Rhinolophus ferrumequinum: one gene and its partners. The protein of the gene in region 3 purifies or fractionates together with the protein of the main gene of each other region. This does not show direct contact. Links are inferred from orthologs where the notes say so. Each region holds a gene or a part of one and is shown on either strand. Other genes may lie near its edges. The genes, in order: HLTF, CDK7, RPA2 and ATRIP.

The links.
Region 1: the proteins of RPA2 (region 3) and HLTF purify together in Homo sapiens (affinity purification with mass spectrometry, with the first as the bait; 3 studies listed by BioGRID). This does not show direct contact. The link is inferred for Rhinolophus ferrumequinum from reciprocal best matches to the Homo sapiens genes RPA2 and HLTF.
Region 2: the proteins of RPA2 (region 3) and CDK7 purify together in Homo sapiens (affinity purification with mass spectrometry; 3 studies listed by BioGRID and IntAct, with this or other methods). This does not show direct contact. The link is inferred for Rhinolophus ferrumequinum from reciprocal best matches to the Homo sapiens genes RPA2 and CDK7.
Region 4: the proteins of RPA2 (region 3) and ATRIP purify together in Homo sapiens (affinity purification with western blotting; 5 studies listed by BioGRID, with this or other methods). This does not show direct contact. The link is inferred for Rhinolophus ferrumequinum from reciprocal best matches to the Homo sapiens genes RPA2 and ATRIP.

What each region holds. Positions count from the first base shown.
Region 1 is NC_046285.1:8,263,887-8,272,358, forward strand, and holds the start of HLTF (helicase-like transcription factor), read right to left. Parts: upstream 3,335-8,472; 5' UTR 3,142-3,334; coding exon 3,122-3,141; intron 1,959-3,121; coding exon 1,751-1,958; intron 1-1,750. UniProt on the Homo sapiens protein: Has both helicase and E3 ubiquitin ligase activities. Possesses intrinsic ATP-dependent nucleosome-remodeling activity; This activity may be required for transcriptional activation or repression of specific target promoters.
Region 2 is NC_046290.1:44,754,660-44,762,561, forward strand, and holds the start of CDK7 (cyclin-dependent kinase 7), read left to right. Parts: upstream 1-4,424; 5' UTR 4,425-4,541; coding exon 4,542-4,607; intron 4,608-4,659; exon of another isoform or gene 4,660-4,778; coding exon of another isoform or gene 4,779-4,817; intron 4,818-4,941; coding exon 4,942-5,001; intron 5,002-7,902. Other genes in the region: MRPS36 (alpha-ketoglutarate dehydrogenase component 4), read left to right, coding at 217-234. UniProt on the Homo sapiens protein: Serine/threonine kinase involved in cell cycle control and in RNA polymerase II-mediated RNA transcription. Cyclin-dependent kinases (CDKs) are activated by the binding to a cyclin and mediate the progression through the cell cycle.
Region 3 is NC_046292.1:19,147,632-19,155,107, forward strand, and holds the start of RPA2 (replication protein A 32 kDa subunit), read right to left. Parts: upstream 3,475-7,476; 5' UTR 3,268-3,474; coding exon 3,249-3,267; intron 2,984-3,248; coding exon 2,874-2,983; intron 1-2,873. UniProt on the Homo sapiens protein: As part of the heterotrimeric replication protein A complex (RPA/RP-A), binds and stabilizes single-stranded DNA intermediates that form during DNA replication or upon DNA stress.
Region 4 is NC_046300.1:7,639,695-7,647,995, reverse strand, and holds the start of ATRIP (ATR-interacting protein), read left to right. Parts: upstream 1-5,191; 5' UTR 5,192-5,301; coding exon 5,302-5,548; intron 5,549-7,409; coding exon 7,410-7,540; intron 7,541-8,158; coding exon 8,159-8,301. UniProt on the Homo sapiens protein: Required for checkpoint signaling after DNA damage. Required for ATR expression, possibly by stabilizing the protein.

The DNA of each region.
Region 1 (8,472 bases), on a different chromosome or scaffold from region 3:
CATGTGGATATGCAGAGGATATCTAATATAGAGAGAATAGAATGGAGTCCCTGAAAAAAAACAAGCTTTGGAACAAGGCAAACATTTATAATTAAAGAAAATTTTCTGAAATAGAAGAAAAACTTGTATTACAGTCAACACTAAGACATACCTTAGTGAAACTATTGGACTTCCAATATAAGGAAAAATATCTTTTAGTTATCCAGGTAAAAAAACTGCAATTCATTTATATAGAAAATAAATCATATTGCCATCAGAATTCCACCAGCAACACTTTATGCAACATCAAGATATCATGACAGAAAATATGGGTCAAGGATCTTATATTCAGCCAAACATCACAAGTATAAACACCCCAAGTTTATACTCAAGTATAAACATCACAACTACGAATATACAAAATGTCAGGAAATATTGTTCCTTCCTAAAGAATCTCCTAAACAACACATTTCAACACCTTTCCAATCACAAAATGATCATAGAAGCTCCGAAATAAAAAATATATATACATAGAAGAATGAAAGTATAGACAAATCCAGATCATGGAATTCTTTCCCAAAGAATCTCCTGCAGAACATGCTTCGGACAACCAAAAAATGATTTGAGTAACTTCAACATAAGTAAATATGAGGGAATAAAAGAAGTGGCATATCTAGAACCTTCCACAGAACAGATGTAGTTTCTTCCACAAATCGACATGAAACAAAGGGAGGGTGGGATTGACTTACGAGCCATAACAATCAAAGATAATATATGAACTTTATTTTGATTCAGATTTGAAAAAAGGAACTATAAAAATACATTTTTAAATAATCAAGAAAATTGATTATGGGTTAGTTATTAGATGTAATAAGAAATTACTATTAATTTTGTTAAGTATGAAAATGACATGTAAGAAAATGAATTTTTTGAGATGCATACTGAATTATGAGTATAAAGTGACACAGTTGGGATTTTTAGTACAAAAGTAAAAAAGTGATGAAACAAATGTGCACAAGATTTGTTAACTGCTGAATCTGAATCATGGGTATATTTAGTTCATTGTATTATTCTACTTTTATGCATGTTTGATATTCTTCATAATCAATTTAAAAAGTAAAACTAAGGGTATATCATCTAGATAACAGAGGTAGACTAGACAACCATAATAAAGACAACTACTAGCAGAAAAAATCATATATTCTCTAGCTCTGTCTGTCCATCTCTCTCATGTAGACACAATGCAGAGACTAGAGATAAGGATAGACACAGTAAGAAAAACTGGGATACAAACAGTCTTACTTCAAAGAAAAAAGACCTAAAATTAGACAATTCCCTTATCTAATAGGAGTTGACATTCCTAACTTAAAAATATTAAAGTGTAGAAATGTGCTGAGGGGCAGAACAGGAGAAAGCAATGGACTGACTTGGCAGTCATTTTGCTAATGTACAACACAGTATCTGTGCTTTTTGGGAAAGTTATTTATCCTTCCTGAGCTTCAGTTCTTCAGTTATAGGAATGGGATAATGTCCTATCTACCTCAGAGTCAATGTAGTGATCAAATGAGACCACATGGAAAAAACTGCTTTGTATATTGTAAGTGTGTATAAATGTAAAAGAATATTAGTCATTAGATATTTGTTATCTCTGCCCAGATATATTTCAATTACTTCGAGTAAAAAAATTAACTGCACATATATCACCTAATTCTTATTTTCTAGGTTAATACCATAAATACACCACATTTTAACTATCTAATGTTATACTCACTACTCCTGTGTAATAGCGTAGTCCAACTACATGACCTCTCAAAGTTCCAAATAAAATTGAGTCTAGCTCTTCATCACTAGTTAGGAAGTCGTCTGGAGGGATAATATCTTGGAATTCAAAACGGGGAAAGAAAGTTGGATATGAGAGGCGTGGAAAATTTCCCTGGACTCCGTACTGGACAGTCTGCAAGTACTTCCAAACAGGATCTCTATCAAAACAAACAAACAATAAAAAAATGTAACCAAGTATTTCTCAAAGACCGTACCATATTTATAGGCTAATTGTTTTCTCACACTTTATTTCAACAAATTAAATCTTATGTGGGAACTGCTGTATAAGATTAATAGAGAGTTACTCTGGTTAAAGCAGGGATTGGAGGGAGGGAGAGGAGGAGGGAAGAAGGGAGTTTTCCGGGAATCCTACCTGTTCAGCAATGCCTCTTCTACCCACGGGTATTCAAAATGAAAACCCCAATAAGTGTTCACAATCTCTTTCCTAGTGATCATCTATTTAAATGGAAATGAATATGATGTTCGTAACATTAATTATATGCCAAAATGTCAATAACTGAGCTAGAAGAGACTTACACATACAGAACTATTATCATATGTGAAGCCATTTCCATCCTTACAGATAATACATCCAACATCCATTACTTTAATTCCTTCCGAAGACAACCCTTATTTTATTCAGGTATTCAAACCATGCCATCATGGAAGGTTGACTCCAACCTTCCCACTCCGGTAGGTTTAAGGGTAATCACAATCCCTTTATGGATAATTGTTTCAGGAACGGGCATGTGAAACAATTTGGATACTGAAAAGTAAGGGGTAGTCCCACTGCGGGGGGGTGTCTAGGAAGTTTCTCCTAAGAACAGATAGAAGGTATTTCCCTTGCGTCTTCCTTGTATGTCGAGCATACATACCTCTTCTGGCTCCTCTGCAAATATATATTTGCACGTCTGTGCATGCACATAAACAGCACTACTTGGGGACAAGGGATGTCTTACTCGGCCCTTTATTCGGAGCACAATGCCTAGTGCACAGTGGGTATCTACTAGGTGTCTCGTGGAATAAGCACAAGTCAAGATGCCTAAGGAGTGGAGCTTTGCGCCCCAAGCCCTTCTCCCCACCCCCAGCCCTTGACAGAGATTTCTCTAAGGCCCTAGCACCCGACTCGCCTGAGGATTCTCCCCATGCCAACCAAGATTATGCCTTTATTTCTCCCGCGGACATATGAGCCACCACCAAAACGAATACAAGCTGCACAAATCGCACGGGGAACGAGAAAGGTACGCAGGGAAGGTCAGGTTCATCTGGGGACGCCTCCAGGCCATTACCCGTTGCGCCCCACCCCCTCCACCCACATCACCTCTTGAACATCCAGGACATGGCGCTGCGTGGGTGACAAGGAGAACGCTTGGGCGTCCGGGATCGTTCTCGAGCCGCCTTGATACGTCTCCTTCCAGGGCCTGCAGCGGAGAAGCCAGAGACACCTTGGGAGCGCGGGTGGAAGAGAGCGCTGCTGGAAGGTAAGACACCGCGAGTCTAGTCAGACGTCGACGCCGTCTCCTTCTAGCAACAATCTGAGAGCTCACTGACGCTTTCTGACTGGCACTGGGAACGTTCAATCACGAGGAGGGGCCTGTGAACACGAACCAATCAGGGCACGGAAGGGAGGGCAACTCCGCCCCGCGCAGCGATTCAAAGACTATGGGCTGGGTCCCGGCTGCTGGGGCGGGTCCATCCGGGTTCTTCCCCGCCCCCAAGGCGGGCGCGCGGGAAAGCCACGCGGCCCTAGCAACCTCACTGCGGTGCCGGTGGTATCGGATTGATTCTCTGTCTCAAAAGAGGAAGATGACTCTCCTTTCCGCTGTTTCCCTCAAGCCCTAAGCCTCAGACCCATTCTTCAGGCCCTATCTCGTCCTACCTCTAATTTTCTTCTTATCTGATATTACATGTAATAGGGTCTTCCACTGAATAAACTCTGCCATTCACGAACCTTGGAGGTACCAGCCACATACTTTCACTTCCTGTGCTTAACCCCGTGTAGTTTGCCTTCAAAATATTCATTTTAAACCCCGCTGATGAATCTATGAGACACACCGAGTTCATAAGCGCTTAATTAGAATTTAGACTTACGGAGTACCCCCTCCATCTCTTTTTTTTTTAAGGAAAATATTCGTTTCTAGTAGAGAAAAGCCACAAAATGCGATGACAGCGCGACTGACTTTGTTGGTGACGGGGCGGGACCAGCTTCCCCTGAGGCATGTGGCTGCCCCACCGAGGTGGGCAGAAGCTTGTTTTCCTGGGGAACTGTAGGGGCGCCCTGAGGCGCTTGGGGTCCGCCTTTTGAGAGTCTGAGGTGACTCAGGAGAACTGGGCTTTGGGTGGGTTGGCAGGGCCTGTCTCTGAGCCTTCGTAGCCAAGCAGAGGCTGCTGCTGACTCACCAGGCCTTACACTGGTGCAGCAGCAGCACCAGCCTTGGAAGCTGGTGGTGGCGGTGGCGTGGAACTGCACTTAGGGCTTGGGGTCACTGGCAAAAGAGAATTGCAGAATCAGAGAGGAAATGTATTTGTGAAAGTGATCATTTTGTCACTTGCCTTTCATAGAGGGGTCCAATTTACACTTCTGTCAGAGTATGAGCGGTGGTCTATAAAACAGGTTTTCAAGAGGCATTTGTTCATTATCTTAAACTGGCATGATCTGTAAACATGAACCAGCAGTGGAATGAGAAATCACATTTGCAGCAATTTATTCATTTCGTTAAACAGAAGGAAGATGAAGACAGTGATATTTCAAATTATTTTAATTATTTTACTTTCCTCTGGAAGTATTAATGAGGCAAAGGACAATATAGTTCAATGTTTTGTGTGCCAGATTCCAAATAAGTTCTTGGAAAATATGCCAGAAAATACCCAGATTGAAAATGTTTTGTGTGTAAAATTAATAAAGCCAGGCTAATTAGACTGAAAGATAAAATTCCAAATGTGAAAATACATGCAAACCTCTTTCAAGACTTCAGACCTATGTCCCACTATTAAACAATTAAAAATGTCCCATTATTAAAGAATAAAGGTTGAATGACATAAAAATTTGCTATTTAAAGTCAACATTTTTGTCCATCTTGTCACTATTTTACATCTCAAACATAGCTGTTGAACACTCCTTTTCACATAATCATTTATTTTTTTAGATTGAAGTACAATTTGTAATAGTTTGATTAAAATGTTATAACAGTTACAAATTCCAAACTATCACACTAGATAACATTTGTAACAAAAAAAGAATGGGAACTGTGTGTGGCTTGTGCATTGGCTGATGTTTAAGGACTTGGAGAACGGCACCAAGAGAATGGTGAGGAAGATAATCGCCAGATTACATCGAAATGTATGGTCTATGGTAGAGTTTGTATTTTATTTTAAATGCAGCAGAAAGCCATTGACTATTTTAAGCAGGAGAATGACAATCTGAATTAGACTTTTGAAAACTCACTCTGGTAGCTCTGTGGAGAATGGATTATAGGGAACAAAAACAGAAACAGAAAGACCGCTTAGTTGATAATTAGGAAATGATTGTGTCCAGGTAAGAGATGATGGTGGCTTGGAATGGAGAGGTGATAAAACTAAGAGAGCCAATAGGATCTACTGATGGAATTGTATATGGGTGCTGACTATGGGGAAGGTATAAAAAAATTCCTCTAGCTACCCACCTCCCAGTTCCAAATACTCTTTCTCATCCTCCCCTATTTTATACAAATTAATCATGTTACTCCCCTATTTTATGCTGTGAACATGAAATTTTAAAATGGTATATGTGACTCTTTATAATCTGTCCCCTACCTCCCACTCCTATCACTTCACAATCCACCCTGCCTATAATGGCCTCCACTAATGTCTCTAAAAATTATGAATATTTTCATATATAACCATAAGGCCATTTTCACACCTAACAAAATTAATAATAAATTAATCTTTGGTGTCTTCTAATAGCTAGTTCATAATTAAATTTTCACAGTTGTCTCAAAAAATATTCTTTTATAGTTTGTTAACAAAATAGAATGTTGAAGTCCTTGGCAAATAAAAAAAAAAAAAACCACCTAAGAACCTGAATTTCTGAAAGTGTGACTTCAATACAAAAACTTCCAAGTTTATGTCCTAAATCATAGATTCTAGAAGAATATATGATGCTATAAGGTCGTTTGTTTGGTTGCTTCCTTCACCCAAAAGGAGACAGAGACAAAGTTCAATGGAGGAGAATTTTCACAAAGTAAATCTCTACGTGGATCTTAGGAAAAGAGACTGGAATGCCAACACCTTGGGCTGAGTGCCCCAAAGGAGGGATGATAAACAGACAGCCTAGCAAAGTTTCTGGAGATCTCTTAAGAAAAGAGAACTGTGCCTCGTTTTTCAGGGAGTATCCTCAAAATTCTGCAGATCTTAGAGAGACCCTCAGAGTCCAGAAACGTGCTAGGGCAGTAAAGGAATAAAGGACAGTGTGGTGACTGTATTAAGGGATCCAAGGGTAGCCTTTCAAAATCCTACAAAAGTCCCCAGAGAGTCTCCAGCTCTGTGAAAGCTGGAGGCTTTCATAATTCATAGTTCTAGTGAAGGGAGGTTCTAGAAGGGAGGTTGGTACCCTGAGATGAACAGAGTCCAAATATAAGCCCCCTAAAGGGTAAGAAAAAAGGGACTGAATTTGAAACCCGAATTTAATTGACTTTAAATCTTAAAATGGTGGGATATAGAACCAAAATCAACAAAGGAACATAACAAACAAACAGAAATAAAAACTCATATAGACACAGACAACAGTTTAGTGGTTAATAAATATGGAAGGGTAAGGGTGGGTGGTAGAAGAGAGAAAAGGGGGTCAAATATATGTTGATGTAAGGAGAACTGACTCTGGGTGTTGAACACACGATGCAACATATAGATGATGTATTATAAAAATGTACACTTCAAACCTATATAATTTTACTAACCAATGTCACCCCCAATAAATAAAATAAATAAATAAATAAAAATAAAAATAAAGCTTAAAATGAGTGAACTACCTGGAAAGTGATTATATTAAGTTACCTCCCACTAGGCAAACTGAAGCCTTAAGACAAATTAGGTTCAATAAAGAAATATAAAGTTTTATCTTTGCAAATGGAATTGGTGATTGAAATTAATACATGCTATACCTCCATATACACATATATCTGAATTTACACCTAGATATTTATAGCAGATATTTTTAGCTAGCCAAATTAGGGGATTTTCATTTTCTTCTTTTTGCTTATATGCACGTAAAATGTTCTCTACATTGAACAGTTTTGCATTTTGCTGTAAGAAAATAGTAGAAGATAAAATAAATTATAGTAAAGAAATGATGTTTTCCAATTTTCTGTTTTCAATTAATTTTAGACTTATAGAAAAGTTGCAAATGTAGTTTGCAAAAATTTCCCTCATTTTTTTTATCCCATTTATTTTAACACCATACATAATCATAGTACAATTACCAAACTTAGGAAATTAACATTGGTATGATATTATTTCTGAACCATTTTTAAAAATAATCAAAGAAGACAAGGCAAAGGACATGACAGAAAATAAAATCTTTTGTGACTTATTTACAATTGGATTTTCTTACACTTAATCAGGGGCAGATTCCTGGATACAACCACAGCTGATAGGACAAAGGAAGTAATGTAAAATAAATGCCAAATAAAATTCTTCTTAAATAACGTAATGACTATCAGTGCCTGGTTTGTAGTAAGCAATCAATAAATGTTGTTATCATTCCTATTATTGTTGTAACAGTTAGTATCTAATGAGTCTTCTAACACTATACAAGGAATACAGTTGATTGAGGCTCATTTCCTGGTGCTCATCAACAGGGTTACTCCTAAATACCAGAATAACATTGTTTCCAGAAGCTAGTCATTTTCCCAGGTACATGTCCTTGAAACAAACTGAATTGTTTCAACTCCCACTCTGAGAATTCTGTGGTGTTCCAGATTACACAGGCCTTTCCCAGGAGATAGTCCTTTCTTCCTCCTTTAGTCCTTGGCTCACTAAGTGTTCCTCCCATGTGGCAGAAGACCAGAGTTGCTGAAGCATCTGCCCCTTCCTTTGCTTCCTGCCGAGGAGCCGTTTCCCAGCTGCAGGAAAGTGTTTCTCTGGGCCATGGAATTATTTACGGTTCTTGACATGACTGTGGTCAAGGCTCTTTTTGTTTTAATAAATATGAATGGATTGGTGAATATTTTTCTGCCTCCTTTATGGCTAGAAAATTTAAAGGCAAAATTGCAACTCTATACTTTTGATACTATCAGAACTACTATTTCTTTTTTTTTTTCATGTGGGTAGCTATATTGTATTGGCAATTCAGTTTTTAGTCATCACAACTTACGAAACCATTGCAGCCTATAAGCATACCCATGCTAACCTTAAAATTAAGGTTTAACTTACCATTTCAAATAGTCCTCTAGAAAGTTTTTTTAAAAAAAAAACTGCAAAAAACCAAACACATTTCTCAAATTTGAAGGAAAAAAAAAGCATACAAATAGATTTTTAGAGGAATTTAATCTCTTGATCTAATAGAAGTTTCAAGAGACTTAAATTCATAAACAGATTGAAGTTTTAGGATCAGAACATAATATCCTGCTTGAATTGCTAATTTTATAATATTTGCAAATAAAATTTCCATTTCTCAAATACTTTGGGATAAGATAT
Region 2 (7,902 bases), on a different chromosome or scaffold from region 3:
AGGACCACTGATCTAGGTCAACCGTGAGTCCCTTCCAGATCTGAAATTGTTTATAACATTGATGTGAGTGCACAAAAGCAATGAAAAAATCCAAAATTGTTTTTAAAAACTAAAAATCATTTGCTTAAAATAATGTAAATTTGTATAGTGGCCATGAAAACATTTCTTCTGTAAATTTAACCCCTAATCTTACTGTTTTATTGTTTTTCCTTTCAGCGTGGAGGTCCAGAATAATCACTGACAATGTGGCTGCTGTTTGTCATCAGACAAAAGAATAGTCTTTACAATAAAGGATTTCCAAAATGACAAATGAGAAATTGTACATTAAACAACTTTAATAAATATTCTGTAAAAGAAAAAAAAGAAATATAGAAAATTTAGATAGACACTTGTATCTCCTAATTTATGTATGTTGGTCAGCTTCTCCACAAGCTTACCTAATTGTTTATATACTTTATACTTATTAAAGTACACATTTTTAAATATTAACCTATTAATTTACTCTTGATTATCAAGTATTACCAGTTGTTGAACTATTAAAAGCACACAATGTCTAGTAAACTATCATAGGTTTAGCATAATTTCATTTTCTTTCAGTTTCTGTTTAGACATGGAAAGAATTTATCAGGCAGAATTGCTGCTTTTGAAAAGTGATTTTCCTGAAATTACATGAGGATCAGTGAAATAATGACTCCATTATTTGTTCTTAATTCTTAACATTTTTTCGTTCACAAAGTTACTGGAGTATAACTGGCTTTTAGTAAGCATATCCTACTCTAAATGATAAAAATATAGCCAAGGTAAAACCAGTGACCTTGTGGTATTAAGACTGGGAAGTTAACACAAAAGATTATTTGTAACCTATATTCATGTCAGAGTATAAAATGGAAAATAAGAGATCAAAGTGAAAATAGCATAGGAATAAATGTTTGACTGAAAATTGCAATTTATTGTTTTAGGGGTGTTAAGAAGTCTTGTTCTTTAGTTTATTGTACTGTTTTGATTATGATCATGTATGAAAATCCTGATAACCATTAACTTTCTCAAACCTGTTGTCTGAAAGTCTCATAAAATCAACCTAACTAGTTAGCCTTGTTACGGCAATTTATGAAACTTTAAAAGGGTCTTCCTGTGCCAACGGCATATATTATTGTGAAAGAAAAGCCTCAAAAAGCTAAATAAATTCTCTTCTATACCTTTAATGATTTCTAGAATATGCTTTAAAGAAGTCATCCCTAATAATTAGGGTAGCTCATGAGCAATAGACAAGTAGAATTACTGAGTCTATTTTGCCCATTTTGAGTACTTTGCCCATTTGCGTCTGGGTTAATCTTTACTTTTTTTTACTATTTCAGAGTTGGTCTGCTTCTCTTGTGACCTAGTATAAATGTTGCCCTACTCAAATATAAGATAGGGGATTGGTGCTAGGAATAAGCTGTTCTGGTGAGTCATGAAAAATACGTGATTCATGATTTATTTTTATTATTCAAAAATTTTATTTAGAAAATTTTCTTAAAAACTAGCACTAGTCTTTCCTTTCCTTAGCTCTTGCATTTCAGTAAAAGGAAGCCCAGAGCAATTTTTTTGCTTTCAGAAACAGTGGGTTCAAGTGATAGTGGCTTGAGTAATACTGTGGACCAGCATTTAGAAACCCCAATACTGGAACTTTCTGAGGTCTACCTTTACTATAGCTGCTGCCATGAAACTCACAATGAAAAAATGTATCATTTTTACAGAATTTGTAAGTCTAGGTATGGCAAAAGGGCATGCCAGTGGAAATTGCTGTCACAGAATGAGCTCCCAAGGAGGATGGTGTCATAGAATTGTGGCTTGGCTTAGAGTAAGTAGGCTGTATTTTCATTTTTGGGTTAAGCACTTAAATGTACGTAATCATTAACAAATGGCTTTGTTTGTCCAAGTTTAGGTTTTCCTCTCCAGTGCTATACAGTGTGTGACAGATAGGATCAAATTAGTATATTGTCTATGACTTTGTAATACATCACCCAAAACTCAGTGGCTAAAGACAACAATACCTTATGGTTTCTCTGGATCAGGAATTCTTGGGCAGGTTGGCTGGGCACCTCTGCTCAGTATGTCTCGTGAGGTTGCAATCAGATGCTGTCTGGGGCTGCACTTATGTGTAGGCTTGACTGGGGCTGGGTGATCTACCTCCCAGGTGGCTCACTAACATGGCTGCCAAGCTGATGCTAGTTTATGGCAGGAGGCCTCTCCATAGGGCTGCCTGGGTGAATGTATAACATGATGGCTCACTTCCCCCAAAGCAAATCATCTAAGTGTACAAGGCAGAAGCAGCAAGGCCTTTTATGATCTAGACTCAGAAGTTAGACACACTCACTTCTGCCATATTCTATTGGTCACACTTAGACTCTTTAATTGTGGGAGGAAACAAGTGCATTAATACCAGAAAGCAAGAATAATTGCAGCCATCGTGGAAGCTGGCTACGACCAGTGTGTGAAATTGCTTTGTAAACTAAAATGCTATACAGATGCTGAATGGTATTTTATATGTACAATGACTTAATGAACCCAGAAAATCACCTAAACACCTTTGTTACCCTATTTTAAGTATCCCCATATAGGAATTTACTTCTCACCAGCATGGTATAATATAGTGATTATGAATTTATATGCCGTGGCACACTTGGGAACCTCAAGCCTCACAGGTGTACCATCAAATTTAGCTCACTATTTAGCTTATTTCTACTACAAGTGAGGTTAAGTTATTACAGTGCTCTTTCAGAAGGAACTTTAGCCTAAGTCAGACATGTATCGTTAAGTATGACTTGCCACAATTATGATAGAAGTGGTAAAAATGTGTTTTCTGCAATGTAGAAGAATTTTGCTTGTGAATATATCAGAGCTCGATAAAGACCCAAGTAGTGACAAAGCTGGAAGGTAACCACGAATAATTATGTAATAGCTAACATAAATTGAGCACTGTCAGACATTTTTCTAAGGGTTTTTGAAGTGTGAAGTCATTTAAGCCTTGCAGCAACCCAATGAGTAGGTCCTATTCGAGAAGGAAGCTGGGGACAAAGTGTAATTATCCCAAGTCATAAATCTAATACTTGGGTCAGTAGTCAATGGAGATCATCTAGATCCAGAGCAAGGACTCAACCTTCACACTATATTACCTTGACTAAATTATGAGCCTTGGTATTGTTTTTGCCTTCTTCAACATACCTCTGAAAATCAGGATCTCGACTCAAACATCAAATGGTCTAGCACAAAACCTTGGAATTATGCTTTCCAACTCCCCAACCCATATCCAGTCTGTCAGCAAATCCTATTGGCTAGAAGCCAAAACTGGTACCCCCTAATAAAACCCTCTTGATTACTGCCATAATTCTTTAAGTGGCTTTCTTGCTTTTCCTCGCCTCCCCCCTACCCCCAAGTCTATGGTATAGTCAGTCTCTCACAACAGCCAGAGTTAACATTTTAAAACATGATATCATATATCATTTGCTCAAAATTCTGCAGTGGCTTTTCAGTGATGTCTTCCTTGGCTCACCCTATTTAAAACTGCAAACCCTAGTATCTTCTCTTCCCCTGCTTTATTATCTCTATAGCACGTATCGCTATGATCATAACATTTTACTTATTTGTTATGTACTCTTGTTTGAATGCAGGAATCTCTTTTTTCCTGCTGATTTCTCAGTATACAACAAAGTGGCACATAGTAAGCAATCAATAAATACTGAATAAATGAATTGTGTTTGATTTGGATGCAAATCTTATGAGAATCAAAATTTGAGAACTGATCACTGTTAACACTTAATAAGCACTTACTATATATCCAAACTCTGCATGTCTCATTTAAGCCTCACAACAGCCTATGATGTATGTGGTCTATTATTATTTCCACGTTACAGAGTAAAAAACTGATGACCAGAAGTCTGTTCCACAGCACAAAACTCTAAAGTTGACTTGGATTTTGTTTGCCTAGGCGTGCTTTTTCATAAAGAGACTAGACTAAGAGACTAGACTAAGTAAGAATGCCTCTTGAGCAGCTCTTAACAACTGGGCGCGCTCTAAGTAACCTGAGATTGCCGGGCTAGGCGTCCATAGTAACGGTGCGACAGAACCCTTTAGCGTGAACCAGACAGAGAAATCAGGTGGACCAACCCTATCATACTCATACATACCTATCAAATCCCGAACTCAGAACATCATAGAACGCTGACCGGTCCCCGGTAGTGAAGAAAATACATAAGTTAAAACGGTAAAAAAGTGACACAGGTTAACCACCATCGAAAACTCCCCACTTCCGGTACCAACGGGCGATCACGTGACAGGGCGGGGAGCGGCGCGGAAAAGCCAACGATCCCTGCCTTCCATTGGGTGGGCTCGGGCGGGACTTATTTAATAGCAGCCACGCCTATCCCGGAAGTGGGGGCGGAGCTAACAAAGCGTCGGAGCCTAGTGAACGGAAGTGACTGTTGGAGGCTTTAAGGTAGCTTTAAATTCCTGCTGTTTTGGGCGCTCGCCCTTTTCAGCTGGAGTCGGGATTCGCGTGACAGATGGCTGTGGACGTGAAGTCGCGAGCAAAGCGTTACGAAAAATTGGACTTCCTCGGGGAGGGCCAGGTGAGGCTATCGGGGACTCGGCGGTGCTGAGCGGAGACCACGGAGCCGCCTCACACCTTCACAGGTTTTCTCTGGCCTGGCTACTCGTTCTCTTTGGCCAAGGCTGCCCAGAGGCAGCTGTTGCCCCTCCATACCCTGGAGATGAGCCCTGAGCGGCCTTCTCCTTTCTGAATGATAGAGAGGAACGGGACGTGGACAGAACAACTGCCTGTACGTTTCAAGCCGCCGAAAGTCCGCTGCAAGAACCCTGGGTTCTTTGCTTCCCAAAATCTAAAGTAAAAAGGCAAACACGAAAAATTGCCACAAACTTACGTTATTTCTCTTTTTTCTCCAGTTTGCCACGGTTTACAAGGCCAGAGACAAGAACACCAACCAAATAGTCGCCATTAAGAAAGTGAGTTACAGGGTTTGGTTTTTTTTATTTGAGTCTCTTAAGAAGTAGATGTGTGCGCTGGTGGATGGCCGTTTTACTAATCTTGACCATGTTCTACTAATGAATTACTTATGTCATTTTCATAGGAAGAATAATTTATTAGTGTCCTGTGTTCCAAAATGGAGCTCGAATTGAACTATTCTTTTCTATTAATTGAAATGAAAAGGAAACAGTATGTTATGTTTGCTTTATTCGACTCAGTCTTTGGCAAAGGGGATGAGTACTGCCAATCTGCTGGGTCCTCAAACTATTTAATATCATGATCTTCCCTATTTCTGCCTCACCTGCATCCACTCTATGTATCTGTCATATCTGTATTTTCTGTGTACAGATTTATCATGAAAGGCTTTCACCAACATGAACAACATTGATGTGCATGCATTTTTAAAAATGATTTAAGTAGCTTTTTTATTTGCATTCATTCAAGAAACTTAGGCCGTATTTAGCTAACTTTATGTGCCAGGCACTTTCACCTACATTTTTTCATTTAACCCTCAAAACAGCCTTGCGGAAATAGGTAAAGTAAATGTCTCTGTTTTACACTTCAGGTACCTGAGGCTGAGAGAGGACTGTGTTTCCCCGAAAATAAGACCTAGCCGGACCATCAGCTCTACCGCGTCTTTTGGAGCAAAAATTAATGTAAGACCCAGTATTATGTTATATTGTATTATATTATACCCGGTCTTATACCGGGTCTTATATTAATTTTTGCTCACAAAGACTCATTAGAGCTGAAGGTCTTATTTTCGGGAAAAAACGGTAGGTGACTTTCAAGATGATACAGATGGTTAGTAATTGTTAAAGCTAGGATTTAAGTCCTGCTGCCAGGTTGATTGCCCTTTCCCATACTACAAAAATCAATAACCCGGGCCAGCCCGGTGGCTCAGGCGGTTGGAACTCTGTGCTCCTAAAGCCAAAGGCTGCCGGTTCGATTCCCACATGGGCCAGTGGGCTCTCAACCACAAGGTTGCCAGTTCAACTGCTGGACTCCCACAGGGGATGGTGGTCTCTGCCCCCTGCAACTAACTACAGCAACTGGACCTGGTGCTGAACTTCGCCCTCTACAACTAAGATTGAAAGGACAATAACTTGACTTGGAGAAAGTCCTGGAAGTACACAATGTTCCCCAATAAAGTCCTGTTCCCCTTCCCCAATAAAATCTTAAAAAAAAAAAAAAAAAAAAAATCAATAACCCTCTCAAGGAAAGGCTGTTTTTCTCACATCTCAAGGCCTATTGGTGAAGTAGGGGACTTCCACCTTTGTATTGCTACTTTGTTCCTGTTGCTACTTTGAATCTGTTTCTTCTTCAAAATCCCTAACTCCTTTGAAGCATATCTACCTCATTCATTTAACACTAATACCCTCTCTTCCTTGGCACAATTATTCCTGCCATTATCATCTTCTTTACTTTTCCTGACTTACCTCGTTTTCCATTTTATGTTCTGTAACCCAGCACTATAGCTACTCCTTTGTAAAACCCTTAATTCTCCCCACAGTTTTTATTTCTCTCTTTTTTAAATCTCCCAACCCTTTCTAAAGTTATCTTTTCAGTTCTATTCCCGGTAGGCTGTATTCTAGCCAACTGACCTTTTTGTTTCTTGAACACTTTAAATTCATTCCAATTCCAGGATCATTGCATTTGCTCTGCCTTCTGGCTAATACATTTTTCCTCTAAAACTTGGCATGGCTGATTCCTTATTTAGATTTCACTCAAATATCTCCTCCACCTAGAAGCTTTTGCTGCTCACTCTAGCTAAAAGAGGCATGCCTCCATCCTTCCCTAGGGTTCTTTGCCATATTTCTCTATCTTCATAGCATTTATCAAAATCTGAAATCCTCTTATTTATACATTTATTGTTTGTTTACTTCCATTCGAATTATCTTTAGAACTATGGCTAGTACATTTGTAGACACTCATTAGAAATGTATTGACTTCACTGAAGGATATAATCTTTTCAAACTGTTGGCATATTGAGTTTTACCAGTTGTCTCAAAGTCCTAGTGGGTTTTGTTTGCTTGCTTGCTTGCTTTAAACATAAATTAGGATAGAATCCATCCTGTTTCTCTGGACTAGACTTTTACTCCTTGAAGGTGACTCAGTGAAACCCAAGATTCCTGATTGAATGTATGGTTTTGATTTAATATGTAGCCCCGGCACTCTATTCGGTTTCTTCATAGCATGTCCTGTAAGCCGTAGCCCTTTCCCTTACTAGTCATTAACCCCCTGAGGCAGCCAGAAATAGTAGGCATACCTTGACTAAAAATCACAAGGTATGGGTTTCTGTTGAGTTAAAGATAATATCGACTTAAGTTATGTTTCAGCTTCTGAGAGCCCTAAAGGTTTGGAACAACCCCCTGGCTACTTTTCTGTGAAACTAGACAGAGATGCCAGAGCATATATATAATGAGGAAGCAGAGAGACATCAGAGCTGTCCTCAAGACTTGAAGAAATGATTTCTTACCTTACCTCACCTCTTACCAGTCAGCTTTCAACATGACTCTGAACCCCTAACCCAGTGTCTTGTGATTTTGCCCTATATAGTCTGTAACCTGCACACCATCAGGGTTTTTGAGCATTAGCTTCCTAATCTCCTGGGTGGTGCCATTCATAATAAAATAGCCAGTCTTTCTCCACTGCAGTTCTCTGTGTTTAGTGTTTTGTCCACCTGATGCTAGCAGAGCCAGCTTTTTCTGTTCGATAACAATAGTGCAATCGCCTTTTACGTTTAATTTTTATTTCAAATAATACATCTTTTTGGTTTGAAAAGGCAATTAGTAGGGCAAGGCTTTTTAACATGCCTGACTCCTACCCCTAGTTTTCACTCTTCAGAGCAATCACTTTCAACTCTTACAACTGTTTCC
Region 3 (7,476 bases):
ATGAAAAATGAAATGTATGGTGCAGTACCTGGAATACTACCTGGTACATCACATACACTCAATAAATGTTAGCAATTATTATGTCAGCTATTGTTCCTCACTCTTTATATCTGCAATAGCTTTTAATAAGGATGTGAAGGAATCGACTATATTTTTCAATTTAACTTTATGGTACTTTATAGGTGAAGTTATATGCTATATTAGTATTTATAGATTTAAAATTTGCTAAAGTCCCAGATTTAGCTCTCAGAATCTATATTTTGTTTTCATCTATCACAACTGAGATTTTTATTGTATCTTCAGCATAAGAAAGCTAAGAACCATGATGGTAACAGCAGCAAGACATGGGCTTTGGAGCCAGACAGTACTATAGACCTGTGTTCAAATCCCAGCTTCACGGCCCAGGACATACCATCACCTACCTCCTCTGTAAAATGAGGATATCTACCTTTCAAGTTATAAATGAAACATATACATAAAAGTGCTAATACCAATCTCTACACAGGTGCAAAAAATATTATTACTCCTCAGGTAAAAAAGTTACATATGGGTAATTATTGAGGTGTCAGTAATACCTTCAAATTCATCTCAAGTTACAGTTATTTGTTTTTTTTTAAATGAGCACCTATTATGTGCCAGGAACCGATTGAAAAGAGCTCCTGGTTTGTTCCAAAGAGATTCGGCACAAGTTACATTTAATTTTTAAAAAATTATTTTGTAGCTGCCTATGAACTACTACTGTGAAGTACTGTACTCTGAAGTACTGTAGGAACCTACCATTTTTACAGGTAAAACATCAGAAACTTCAGAATTCAATCAAATATAACAGGTTTATAGTCAGTAGGAAACATTTAAATAGGACATTTATCTTTTACTGTGCAAAAAGCACTAGATTTTAAACACAGAAAGACCTGAGTTTGAGTCTCCAGCTTATAACTGTCATCATTCTCTGAAAAGCTGTCTTAGTACATAGCCCAAGCTAGGGGTCCTGAGATAAAAATTCTAACAAATGGAATGAAGAAAAATAGTGAAGCTTAGGGAAAAAAGATGAGAATTATCTATCTTCTGTTCTCATCTTCACAGCCTCAAAGAAGACTATAGTCTCCTCTGGTCTTCCCAGGAAAAAGAAAGCTACAACAGAGAAGCAGCTGCTTACCAGATTTTGGATTTGCTCAGCGCCCTGTGGGCACTGTCTGGTTCCAGTTACTTACTATGTAAGCTTAGGGAATCTCAATCTCCCTGAGCCTCTCTGTTGTACAATGGAGGAAACAATACCTTATTGGGTTATATGAAATAATTTATATGAAAAGTATAAAGCAATATCCAAATGTATGAGAATTATCAGTGGATTCTTTCCCAACTATACCTACCCCTGAATTAACAGTTTATGTAAAAGCTTATCAACCTGTACACAAAACACAGAACCTGCTAATACTGAATCTTAACACATCAGAATGACACCTAAAGAGAAGCCAAATTAATCCTGTATTTAAAGAATGAAATCAACAGTTGTTAATTGCAAACTCTTTTCTGAAAGAGTAAATAGGACCGTCCTGGTGGCTCAGGTGGTTGGAGTGCCCTGCTCCAAACACCAAGATCACCAGTTTAATTCCTACATGGGCCAGTGAGCTGCGCCCTCTACAGCTAAGATTGTGAACAACAGCTCTCCCTGGAGACAGCTCTCCCTGCAGCTGGGCTGCTGTGAGCAGCCAGAGGTGGGTGTAAGCTGCTGTGAGCTACTGTGTGCTGCCATGAGCAGCCAGTGGCCAGCATGAGTGACCAGCAGCCAGAGTGAGTGACTGGTGGCCAACGAGAGCTGCTGTGAGTGGCTCAGCCCGGGGAGCGCCAGGCTCATAATACCAGCATGGGCCAGGGAGCTGTGTCCTTCACAACTAGAACTAGAAAACTACGGCTTGAACCGGAGTGTGTGCGTGTGGGGAGGCGGAAGAAAGGGGGGGGGAGAGTAAATAACAAGCATTTGGACAGCTTTTTACAGAATACTTTCTTATACATTAGCTTATTTATCAATTCTCAGAACCACCCTGTGACATAAGTAATACTAGTACCATTATCAGATGAAAAAAACCCAAGGACCAACAAAACCAAGGGTTCATGTTGCTACACTAAACTCACATTGCCAGTTAAAAGGCAAAGGTGATTCCTGACATTATGTATTCTGGCTCCAATGCTCAGGTTCACCTCTGGCTCTGGCACCTCCCCCAACTCTGACCCCCCCCAGCTTTCTTTGCTAAATTGTTGCGATTCTCATCCTCCACCCCAGGCATCATTACTATTCCACATCTTGGTCACAAATAGTACCTAGGACCATTTATTGAAAGGGACTTGGGGCAAGCACTTTATATATAATATTAAGTCTCGCAACAACCTTGTAAAGCATGTATTATCAATCCCATGTAGTAGGTGCAAAACTGACTTCCAAGAAAGTTAAGAAATTTGTCCAATGATACCCTGCAAGTAGTGGTAGAGAGCATAGATCTATATATGACTTGACTTCAAAGACCATGCTCTTTCCACCACATTAAATCACCTCACTACGTTTAATTAAAAAACGACTTTGGAAAACATAGAACATAAATTAGGCTATTAATACAAGTTCAGTTTTTCTACAAAACTGATTCATTAGCTATCTTGGTAAAATTTCAAAATAAAGCCAAGGAAACAATAGCGGATGCAACATTAGGGGAGATTCCTATTTCAAACTTACAGCATTTAATTATAAGACTCGATAAGATAGTAATAGATAATTATCGGATCAGCTCAGGTTTAATACCCTTCCTTCGCCGCAGAAATGTTCTCCCATGGATGAGTTATGAGCTTTAGGACAGATAAAATAAAATACTCTTTCAACTTACTGATTTCTTTTCTGCCTGAGAAGGTGTCGGCGATCCAAAGCCCCCAGCGGACTGTGTGTAGCCGCCGGCTCCCCCAAAGGTAGAGCTGCCATAGCTTTCATATCCACCTGGTTTTAAATAACAGTAGTATTAGTATCTGGGCTGCTTTCCAAGCTCCTGAAAAACCCACGGGTCCCCTGAGACCTCAATCCCCGCACCCCAAACAGTCCCAGCATCTTCCTAATCTTCCCGACCACCTTTCCCAGGCCCCCAAACGGCCCCACCTCTGGCTCCAGCACCTCCCCCAACTCTCCTCCCTCCCGCCGCCACATGCCTCTCCGACCCCCCAGCCCTCTTTGCTAAATTGTTGCGATTCTCATCCTCCGCCCCACTCATCATTACTATTCCACATCATGGTCACAATTTCTTCGAAAAAGGCCCAGAAAGCTCAGGTCGGCTGGCTTCGCCGGACGCCTCAGAATCTTACTGCGGCCCCAGCGCTGTATCTACTTTTCGCTGGCGCCACAGACACCTTCCCGCGAATGACGGAGCCAATCAGTGTCCAGAAGTCTTCTTGCTTCAGCCAATCAAAGCTCGCTAATATTACGCTTTTTCCGTTCTTCGCTGGCCATGTTACTGAATACAGGCACTACGCTCCCAGTAGGGCCAGAAGCCTTCACGGCCATGTTGACTAAGGGCAAAACACTTCGCGCAAGCGGAAGCAAGGATCCTTGGATGCTGATGAGGCAGTATCTCAAAAAAACAACCAATCCAACAATACTTCCTCATCTCAGGACCATATAATCCCACCCCCATCAATAAGCGGCATCTTACGTCACTTTATTCGGGGGTTTCCCGCCAAATTTTCAAGACGCCTTGGTCTAAAACGTCATAGTACAATTCCTGGTTCGATGTCTCCGCCTGGCGGTCGCCCGGGATTTGCGCACACGGGTAATTCACAGTACTACGTAGTTTCGCAGCACCTCGTGGGATTGCTTATTCTTTAACGTAAAGAGTCAAGTTCTCTTCTTGTATTGCCACCCCGTGGCCCTGATTCTTCCCAGTGAAGGTATAAGAAATCTACATTCTTTTCCCCACGATGGCCTTTCAAAAACTGAGGACTGGGTTCATCCCACCTGTCCTGACTCTAATCTAGCTCCGCATCCTGGGTTGCTTCAACTATTCTTCATATAATGCGGTTGTGCTCCTCCTATGGAGAGTAGAACATGTCTGTTAGTTCCTTGCTGTAAATACTAATAGGGTGTTAGACATACTCTTCTCATTTATTTAAAATTATTTGATGTCTCTTTTGTTCTAAGCTCTGTACTGGCCAATGGTTAAGGTAGACCGGGTCCCTGGGCTTCTGGACTGTTTTATTTTTTATTTATTAAAACTTCAGTCACTGTCTTAAGCATTTTATATTTATTAATTCAGTCCTGTGAAGTAGGTTAGTGTATTGTCCCCATTTTACAGTTAAGGAAACTGAGGTATAGAAAGTCTAAGTTTTGGGAGCCTGCATTCAAGCCCAGGAAGTCTGATTTTGTCAACCAGTGTCGTTATTATACCTTTTTGAACATCCTAAACAAACTCAGATGACAACTGGGGTCAGGCAGGAAAACTGCTAATGTAGTGGGTTGGATAATAGACGACAATTTAAAAAACTTTTTTTTCTCCACAGTAAGAAAAATAACCACACAAGCATAATGGTAAATAGCAACTGACATAAAGACTATGGATCTAGTGTTGCCAGATCATCTATTTGTTTTAGCAGATGTCAGAAATTTGAATTTTTGTGTAAAATTTTCTGTGTTTTTAAACAAATAAGTGTTTTTAAACAAATCAACTATTAAAAAAACATTATGTAGGCCAAAGAAAAGATATCTGTGGGCCAGATGTTACTTTGTAAATTCTGTAAGCCTCCAAATCATTGCTGAGGAATAAAACCTGAGGTATACCAAAAAGACATTCTTATATTAAGCCTAAGGTGATTGAAACTTACATACTCTGACAAGTAAGGGCATATTTATGATATATAGGATAAAATGTTTGAAATTAAGATTATTCTGGGACATTCAAGATGTGTATTCACTTGAGTCAATTGGCCTTATTTGGGGTTTAACCAGTTATAACTTCAACTTCAACTGTGAAGACCATACATTTAAAAATAAAATGAAATTAAAATGTCTTAAAGTATAACAGAATACAAACCATCAAAGAGTTTTGCACATCTTTTCAAGAGCTTGAAAAACTGATAAATTGAGGGCTCAGTTCTCAATCAGTGCTAAAATAAAAATAAAATAAAAATTAAATATAAATATATAATAAATTATATATTATATTATATATAATATATAATTTTTATATAATAAAAATATAAAAATAAAATAAAAATAAAATAAAAAACTCGTGTGTGTGTTTGTGTGTGTGTGTGTTAGTGAATTCATCTCTCAAGGTTTAGTTTTGTCAAGTTGCAAGCTTCCTGTCACATAGCAATTTCCAAGAAGTCTTCCATTTCCCTCTTTAGGTAGGCTACAATCAGGGAAATCCACAGCAAGACTGAGAAATGGAGAAATCATCCTTTAAAAACAATCTGGTGGGGCGGACGGGTGGCTCAGTTGGTTAGAGCATGAGCTCTGGGCAATGGGGCTGCCGGTTCGATTCCCACAGGGGCCAGCAAGCTGTGCCCTTCGCAACTAGAATGAAGTCAATGAGCTGCCGCTCCGCTCCCAGGTGGCCAGATAGCTCGGTTGGGGTGCAGGCTCTCAATCACAAGGTTGCCAGTTCGACTCCCACAAGGGATGGTGGGCTGCGCCCCCCTGCAACTAACAACAGCAACTGGATGCAGCTGAACTGGGCCCTCCACAACTAAGATTGAAAGGACAACAAATTGACTTGGAAAAGTCCTGGAAGTACACACTGTTCCCCAATAAAGTCCTGTTAAAAACAAAAAGAAAACCAAAAAACCAATCTGGTGACACACACCCATTAGGATGGCCATAATTACATAGAAATAGAAAACACCAGGTTGTCTCTTGCTCGGAGGCCACCTCTGCTCTGCTTTTGGAGTAGATCTTTATTGAATAAAGATACTTTTGCTTTTTAAAAAAATAGATAACAGCAAATATTGGTGAGGATGTGGAGAAATTGGAACCCTGTGCACTGTTAGAATGTAAAATGGTGCAGCGACTATGGAAAACAGTATGGCAATTCCTCAAACAATAGAAATAGAATCACCATATGATCCAGCAGCATATATCCCAAAGATGGAAACAGGGACTCAAAATAGATGCTTGTATACCCACGTTCATGGCAGCTTTATTCAAAATAGACGCTTATACACCCATGTTCATGGCAGAATTAGACAAAAGGTGGAAGCAACCCAAGTATCCATTGACACATGAATGGATAAACAAAATGTGGGATGGACATACAATGGAATTATTCAGCCTTAAAAAAGAAGGAAATTCTAATACATGCTACAATATAGATAAACCTTGAAGATATGCAAATGAAATAAGCCAGTCATAAGAGGACAAATATTATATGATTCCATTTATATGAGGTACCTTAAAATAGTCAAATTTAGGGCCGGCCCGGTGGCTCAGGCGGTTAGAGCTCCATGCTCCTAACTCGGAAGGCTGCCGGTTCGATACCCACATGGGCCAGTGGGCTCTCAACCACAAGGTTGCCAGTTTGATTCCTCGACTCCCTCAAGGGATGGTGGGCAGCGCCCCCTGCAACTAAGATTGAACACGGCACCTTGAGCTGAGCTGCCGCTGAGCTCCTGGATGGCTCAGTTGGTTGGAGCGCATCCTCTCAACCACAAGGTTGCGGGTTCAACTCCTGCAAGGGATGGTGGGCTGTGCCCCCTGCAACTAGCAGCGGCAACTGGACCTGGAGCTGAGCTGCGTCCTCCACAACTAAGACTGAAAGGACAACAACTTGAAGCTGAATGGCACCCTCCACAACTAAGATTGAAAGGACAACAACTTGACTTGGAAAACAGGCCTGGAAGTATACACTGTTCCCCAATAAAGTCCTGTTCCCCTTCCCCAATAAAAATCTTAAAAAAAAAAAAAAGTCAAGTTTACAGGGACAGAAAGTAGAACAGCGTAGAACAACGGTTGCCAGATGCTGGAGAGAGGGAAGAATAGGGAGTTATTGTTTAATGGACACAGAGTTTCTGTTTGGGAAGGACCGTTCTGGAGACAGATAGTGGTCATGGTTGCCCAACAACATGAATGTAGCTAATGCCATTGAACTGTACACTTAAAAATGGTTAAAACGGTAAAATATTATTTGTATTTTAACACAATGAAAAAAATTTTTTAACCACTTTGGTGTTTACTTAATACATGCCAGAATGCATTATCTCTTCTAAAAGCTTAATATACATTATCTCCCAAAGTTTTTGACTGCCATTTTAACCTCCAAGGTCAATTTGCCTCCACTTTATAAACACACACATTTTAATCAGAACTGTCCCAACATTGATGAAATTTCATTTATATTGGATTCCCTATTCAATTTTTTTGTACAGTGAGAGTTAGCCATTTCTAATTTTTCCCATTTTAAATTTTGCTGAAATCATCTTTATGTAGATCAATCTTTTCCTGGGCAAACT
Region 4 (8,301 bases), on a different chromosome or scaffold from region 3:
GCAGGACGACTCCCTAACCCTCACCCCGTACCTGGCCAGCCTAGCGCCGGAGCTGCAGCCCCAACCGAGCCCCCGCCACTCAATTGATCTCTGAGACTTTAGCGCCCTCCTCCAGAGGGCCACTTCCGGCAGCGCGAGCCCAGCTTCCTGACTAGGAGCCAATCAGCTGGCCCGCGTGGAGGTGTAGGTTCAGGGGAGGGACCCGGAGCTCCGCTTCCGGTGGCAGGGTCTGGGGAAGGGGCGGCAGGCGCCATGTCCGGCCGCGAAGGTGAGTGTGAGGGGGTGGCCGGGCGAAGTGACGGGACCCGGTGGGGGCCGGGCTGAGCGTGATCATGTCGCCCATAGGTGGCAAGAAGAAGCCCCTGAAGCAGCCCAAGAAGCAGGCCAAGGAGATGGACGAGGTAAGGGCGGCGCGGAGGCGTGGGCGGGCGCGGAGGGGCTGGGAAGCCCGCCTGGAGTGAACCCGCTCTGCTTCTCCCTAGGATGAGAAGGCATTCAAGCAGAAGCAAAAAGAGGAGCAGAAGAAACTCGAGGAGTTAAAAGCGAAGGCCGCGGGGAAGGGCCCCCTGGGTAAGTGAGGGCTAGGCAGAGCCCAGGCCCTACGAATGTTCTGAGCAGCTGTGGACGCGGCCCGGGGAGGTCCGTTTCCGGCCTGGTTGGTGAGTGGCCAGGTCTCCGTTCTTGGTGTCCGTCGCCGCTGATGGCCGTGGCCAGGCTTGGATTCGCCGCAGCGGCAAGGGACGGGAGCTAGACCGGGTCTGGAAACGAAGTCTGCCGCCCAGGCAGTCTGGGCTTCCCTTCCTTGGGGAAAAGGCAGAAATGGAAACTCAGAAACTCATATATCTTAGGCATATTTCATACAGTTGGGTTTCCAAATATCCTCCACAATTTCTTGCCCCAAAGTCATATTTCATTGCTTTTTAACTACTATTGTTAACGCTAGTGAATACTTTTGCATCTTGAGTCTTTTCTGGATGCGCCTAGACTAAAATGTCCAGGTTTCTTGGCAAGCTATTATGCTATATGCTTTTTTTAAACTTCATACCCCACCGTTCCGCCTCTTCTTTTCCTTTATGTAAGAGAAATTGATTACATACCAAAAGATTTTTCAAGCCCATTAGTCCCGGTGTTTTCTGTGTTTTGTAAATGCTGTTCACATTCATCAAACTAGTGATTAGTCCCCCCCAGTTATGTATCCCCTATTGAATCACTGTGAGCTACAAGGGGGGATGATGGAGGCTGGGGTGATGGGAGTGTCATCCAGGGCTTCCCAAGACCTCTTTTCTCAGTGGGTTTGATTCATTATTTATCCACACGGCCCTGGGAATTCTAGCAATTGAGATTCCGTTCTGGAATGATGTGCTGAGGTATCTTGCACTTTCCCGGTTGTGTATAGGAGGTCAGTCCTCAGTGAAATCCTATACGACTTGTTTCCACTGAACGTCATCTGATTTTTTTTTTAAGGTTTATTTCGTCACAGCCCTTTAGGATCTTCATTCCTCTATTAGGCATACTTAATTCTACAACTATTTTTTCAGTTACCTACTGTGTGCCAAATTATATAGTCATTTGTAAATTGGGTGAAATAAAGGTATTGAGTAAACCAGACTCCAGAAACATAATATGGAAGGTACTGTGGTGTGATGTCGCAGTTAAGAATATGGACTTGGAAGTCAGACTACCCAGGCTGGAATCCTGGCTTCATCACATACCAGTTTATGACTGAACACCTTAACACTAAGACTTCATTATCTGTAAAATGGGTCGATAGGGGATGAGGATTAAATAAGCCAGTCTGAAGTACACAACACAGTGCAGATCCAGACCAGTGTGCAGCCATTTCTTGTGCCCCTGCCTCATCCTCATTCTACTTTTGCCCAGAATAGAAAATATTGGTAAAGCTCTGTATATACTTATGTTAAAAAGAAAGCTCAGTAGAGAGCTTAAGGCTTCCATATCAGGCCCTGGGGCTTCTACCATAGGAACTGTATTTTTCCCTAGCTGAAACTTTTTTTTCTTTGCAGCCACAGGTGGAATTAAGAAATCTGGCAAAAAGTGAGCTGTTCCTTGTGCCTGGGGCAATGATGATCCTTAATTCCATTCCAGTCTTAACATTTGGATTCCCTGCCATAAGACCTGTTGCCACCTGTAGCTAGAATGAAGTGTTGTTTTGGAGTCTGTTGTACATTTAAGAATAAACTTTTGTAAAAAATAATAATAATAATGCAGTGGCTCATCTGTTTAGTTCTTCTCACTCAGCCATTTCAACCTTAGCTGTGAGGTCAGAGGAAACCCAACCCAGAATCCTAAATGTGTTCTTCAGTCTTTGTTCTATCCCGAATTCTGTACTGCCTGGAATTAAACCAACTAATTTGAAATGGCTGTCGTTTTTGTGTAGTTGTATACCCGACGGAGCTTTACATAAGGTTAGTGGAAGAATTTGCCCTTTGGAAAGAAAACCCATCTTTCTCTGTTAAGACGTCCACGTTGCCATTTGTTTTAATGGGGTAGTTCATCTGTTCATGTAAGGAGTCTGCTGTTTGCAGGCTGGGCTTGTACCAGCAAACAGTTACTGTTGTCAAGAAACTTCTCCATAGTGGGAGGGGAGCAGGACAAGTCCACACGATATGCATTGTAAAGGCAAGAAAACGGGAAGGGAGATTCCTGAAAGTCTTGAAGAACCAAGCTTACTCTGAAGTCCCCAGGTCTGCATTTCCACTAGGACTCCAGAAATATCCTTCCTAGGTTCTTGTGTCTTATACCCCACATTCAACTCATCAGGAAAATTAAATCTGATCCCTTCATACTTACTACAATACCCCCCCAATTGTAACCCTAAAATCTCTCACCTGGATTACTGCAGGCACACCCAAATTTCTCTTCCTGCTCCTACCCTTGCTCCCCTACAGTCTAACCTTCACTCAAGACCCAAAGTGATCTTGCTAAACAGTGAAGTTATACTTCATTTTCTCCTTGGCTCAGAATTCTTCAATGACTTCTTAGAGCAAAAGCCAGAGTCCCTACAATGACCAGTGAGGTCCTAAGGGACCTGAACACCACTCCCTGCCCTTTGGTATCTACAATTGTGTCCCTTGATCCATCTTGAGCCGCAATGGCCTACATTCCAAGCAAGCTCCTGCCTTATTGGGCTGTCACCAACTCTTTATACCTGTCACTCTTCTGGATACTGGAAAGTCCCTCCCTCCCTTTAGAAAAATGAAACATCATAATAGTGAGCTTTTCCCTGACCACTATAAAGGAGCAGTCCCAGTGTCTCTTACCCTGTTTTCATTTTTCTCTCCTGACATTTGTTATCACCCTTGACTCTGGGAGGAGTAAATTCCTAGATGACAGAGGCCATTCATGTGTGCCAAATGCATATGTATTGAAACAATTCAGAGGCATAAATATTTGGATTTCCCCTCCAGAACCCTTGATACAACTATGGGAATAATACTAATACCGTGTTGCCCCGAAAATAAGACCTAGCCGGACAATCAGCAATAATGCATCTTTTTGGAGCAAAAATTAATATAAGACCTGGTCTTATTTTACTATGAGACCAGGTCTTATATATAATTACTTATAGTAAAATAAGACCGGGTCTTAATTTTTGCTCCAAAAGACGTATTAGAGCTGATTGTCCGGCTAGGTCTTATTTTCGGGGAAACGGTAGTGCTAAGCTTTCTTTGAGAATGTTCTTAAAAAGGACTCTAGAATTACTCAGATTTTGCTAAGTCAAAACTGGAAAAGGTTTTGACAGATTGAAGCCTGTTTTAAGACTAATGTACTTGATATTAATGGGGGAAAAAGAGCAAAAGCCTGCTTTGGTCCTCTCCTGGAAAGTGGCACAGCCAGCAGCATCTTTGGACTTGATGCATTCCCTGTGGGACCTTGCCAGCTGGCACCCAGCCCTGTGCTACTGAGAACAACCTTGGGAGCCAGCACACTGCCCCTGAGAGTGAAACCTAAAGTCTCCTGACAAATCAAGTGCAGTCCTATCTCTACAGGACCAGACACCTGCAGCAATTAAGACTTAAGGATTCGATATTTGGGAAACTATCTGAAGGTAACTAGCAATTACTTTAAATAACTCAGTACACCTGAAATTAAAATTACATTGAATGTCAACGGCAACTGAAATAATTTTTTAAAAAACATCTAAACTCAGATATTCAAGACCCTCTGGATGCTGACAACCATCTCCTTTTCACTTACTGCTTTCACAAATATTCATAGGACATTCACAGGCTGTTTGGCATTGAGCATGAAAGGATGAAAGTCTTGCCGGTTACTCTCCAACACCCTGTTCCCGTTAACTGTCCTGCACACCACTGCTGCCCAATAAAATCTTGCCAGGCACTCAAGCCCACTTTGAATCTTTGCTCCTCTGAAGCCTTAAGTTCTCTGCCATAGATAACGCCTAACGGGCACTTGTATGGCCTCCATTTTGGTATTGTATGCTTGTCTGCCTAGTCTTGTGGGCCAGCCTCCTTGCTCACTCTGATAACTCCCACTCAACCTGTAGGACAGCCCAAGGGCCTTCCTTGACATGAACCTCATTCATTTCTATGTTACCAGCACTTGGGTAAAACACTCAAGTGCTCTCAGACAAATGAATGAATAACGTTAACGGACTGAGGAGTTACACAGGCACCTTTTCAGGATCACCCTTCCTTAGACTTTCTTCCCACACCTACCTCAAATGCACACATTCAAAACATCTACTGTTCTCAAACATGTCTGCTCACAACAGTTCTATTCATACTCTTCTGCCAACCCCACTCTCCCGGACTTCTCCCCAAGAGAACCTGGAGTATGTGAGGGGTGGGTCCGACCGAGGACAACGAGGTTACAGAGACCAAACCCCTAAAGGCTGGCTGCCTCGATTCACATGCGCACGTGTGAATGCCATGGCGAACTCCTCCGGCGTGTACTCCACGATATGCCGGGAAGGAGGCGCACAGCCACTCGCACGGTGGGGCTGGTGAGCCGGAACCCGCACTGCTATAGCTTAGATAGGCCGCACAGAGCTCCGGGAGCCGACCTACTGAGTCCCAGCAGCGAGTACAGAGAGGCCCGAGGCGCCCGAGAAGGGTAAGTACTCAGCGGAGCACCGCGGCGCGCTCGGATGTGTGTCATTGCTCCGCGCCCGCCAGCTGGCAGCTGATTGGCCCGTGGACACGGGGGCGTGGCCCCAGCGCCTGAGGCGAGCGGCGGCGCGCGGGAGTTTGTCCAGTTCTTCGGCTTTGCGGCAACCAGGCCGCGCTCGATCCCTTCAGACACTTGCCGGCAGCAGGCATGGCTGGAACCGCCGCGCCGGGCAGCAGGAGGCGGAGCGGGCCCCCGACACCTAGCTCTGGCCCGCTGCCCAGCACCGGGCATCCTCCGAGCAAGCGGGCCCGCGGCTTCCCCGTGGCCGCAGCCCTGGACCCCGAAGATCCGTTCGGTCCGCACGGGGATTTCACCGCGGACGACCTGGAGGAACTCGACACCCTCGCGTCACAGGCCCTGAGCCAATGCCCGTCCGCTGCTCGGGACGTGTCCAGTGAGTGCGCCCAGGGCTCTTTCCCGAGGGTGGTGCAGACTTTGCCAGACACCCTTGAGGGCTGTGGCTTCGGAACCCCACGGCGACCGCTGTCTTGCACCCACACCGCCTCTTCACCTTTTAAAAATATAGGAACAGCTTGATTTAAGCAGCGGTTGTGTTCTGATTTGGGGAGAGATGGATCAGGAATGTCAAACAACCGATTTGAAATATAGAAAGTTAGGTTAACATTTTACTTTAGTTTTTGAAGTTAGGGTCACCAGGTTCTTAGTTCTAAGCAGAGATCCTGCTTAGGACTCCCACCATCAGAACCATCACTACCTTCGCAGGGAGACCCATTCTTGTGGCAGTCTGGGAAGGTTTTAGATCTAATGAAGACCGCTGTCCCTCTTGAGCCTCATGAGCTTAAGAGGGTCTGGCAGAGGCAAGAGAGGAAAGAAACTTATTATTTTATACAACCAATAAATTGTACCAGGTGCCCAAACCTTAAAAATGGCAGCACACTTAGCAATGAGCAACAGACTAAAGTCCCTTCCTTCATGGAGCTTGCATTCTAGTTGGAGAATGAGTGACATCTTGTGGAGCTCACAAAAAGAGAAAGTTCTTGAGAGCAACTTGCATCTGTACTTGGATGTCTCACAGGCTTCTTAAATTCCACACAATTGTTTCCTGGAAACCCACTCATCCTCCAGCATCTCCAGCATGGTGCCTGGAAAAGCAGACATTCAGAAAACACCCGTTGATGACCAAATGTTTCACATGACACTGACTAGCACCACTCCCCATCAAGTGGCACAAGGCGACAGCTCCCTTTCCTTGACTATACGTCGAATTCCTTTCCAAACCCTCTAACTTTACTTTCTTAATCTATCTTGGAATCCATTCTCTTTGCATCGTCTCTACCATCTCCCTGATCTGTTACCATCACCCCTCCCCTGGACAATAGTCTGCTAAATTGTCTTCCCAGGTCCAGTCTTGAGTCCCTACAAATCAGACTTCCCACCACAGCCAGAGTGATTTGTTTTGAAAAGATCAGTGTGTCTCACACAGATAAGCATGAGCATCCCTACTGAAAGCCCTTTAATGACTTCCCATGGTTTCTAGTATAAAGATCAAAACCCTTATGTGGCCTGCAAGGCCCAGCATAGTCTGTCACTTCCCCTCTTTCTCTCTGGGTTTTAGCCACCCTGACCTTTCGTTCCTTGAATTCTCCCTGCTTCTTTATAATACAGAAGCTTTGCACATTGCTGTTTCTTGTATATTGAGTGTTCTTTCCATCTATTCCCCATCCCCACTCATCTGGTTAATTCCTACTTGTTCTTCAGCTTTTGGTTCAATCATCATCACTTCCTTAGCCTTCCAATCATTCAGTTGGATCAAATTCCCCTATCATAGGCTTTCCTGTATTTGTTCTCTGCAGTTCTCATCACAGTTGTAATTTTACATTTATACATGCGTGATTATTTTTTTAATGTCCTGTAAGCTCCACAAGCAAAAAGATAATCCATTTTGCTCACCATTGTACCTTTAGAGACTAAATCATGCCTGGCATATTACAGGTGCTCAGTAAATATTGCTGAATGTAAATCGCTGAGTTCTGACTAGGGAGATTCCCACAGTGCCTTTCAGCCTTTAGATGAGACTCTTAAAATTGGGTGGGGTATGGGGAGAGGGTGGCAGGATCTATTATTTTATAAGGATCATTTATGAGTTTGAATCATGTTCTTAGATTAGAAAAGTTCCTATATTGCTTACTACATCTTTCTCTAATTTGCCTTCAAGAGGGATTCTTTTCAGCATTGTCTGGTAAAAGTGGGAAAATGTTGGGTCCTGAAAAGTATGTGGGAACGTTTTTTTATAGGTGTTTATAAGGTTCCCAGATTAGATGGAATGTCAAAAAATCCTGCAGTGAAAAACAGAGAAAGTGTTCCAGTTAAAGCTAATTTTGAATTGGAGTTACTTCAAGCACAATACAAAGAACTTAAAGAAAAGGTAAGTGACTTAACTTGTGGTTTTTATAACTAATTCATTCACTTATGCATACATTGTACAATAAAATATATAAAACTTTTAAAACTAGAGTCCAGATTCATCCCCATGAAATGGGAGGAGGGGGAGGCTGGGGAAAGAAAGCCAGAAAATTGAGGCGGAAAGAAACTAAATCCTGAGATTACTAACAGCCAAGGCAGGAAAGGAAACACTGTACACCAGTTCCAAAAAGAGATACAAACTTTCTGTTTTAGCACCAAGATAAATTTATAGCATATTTCTTATATAAAGGATACAGCGTCATAATGGTTGCTATGCATTAGCAGTTTTGCAAAAAAGCAGACATCCTTCATATAACCAAACTGGGTCACTGGGTAAACCAGGAGCATAATGTGGAATTTTAGTTCTGTAAAGTGTGTGACCCAGATTATTTAAGACCTATAAAGCCTACAGAACCTGCTTGCATGAGTGACAAGTGTGTCATTAAGCTGTCTTGCTGAATAACTGCTGTCCCACGAAGGAGCCTAGCAGACCACGGTGATGACTGGCTGGTATGGATATATTTTGAGCACTCACTGGTCTGTAGGACGTGTTTTACATGGGCTTTTTCCATCTCTCCAGGTACATGTTGAAACAAGTACATATATAATTTTCCCTTACAAACTTTTCACAAGATTGATTTGGGATTTACAGATGAAGGCAATGGAAGAAGAAGTCCTCATTAAAAATGGAGAAATTAAAATTTTACGGGACTCACTGCATCA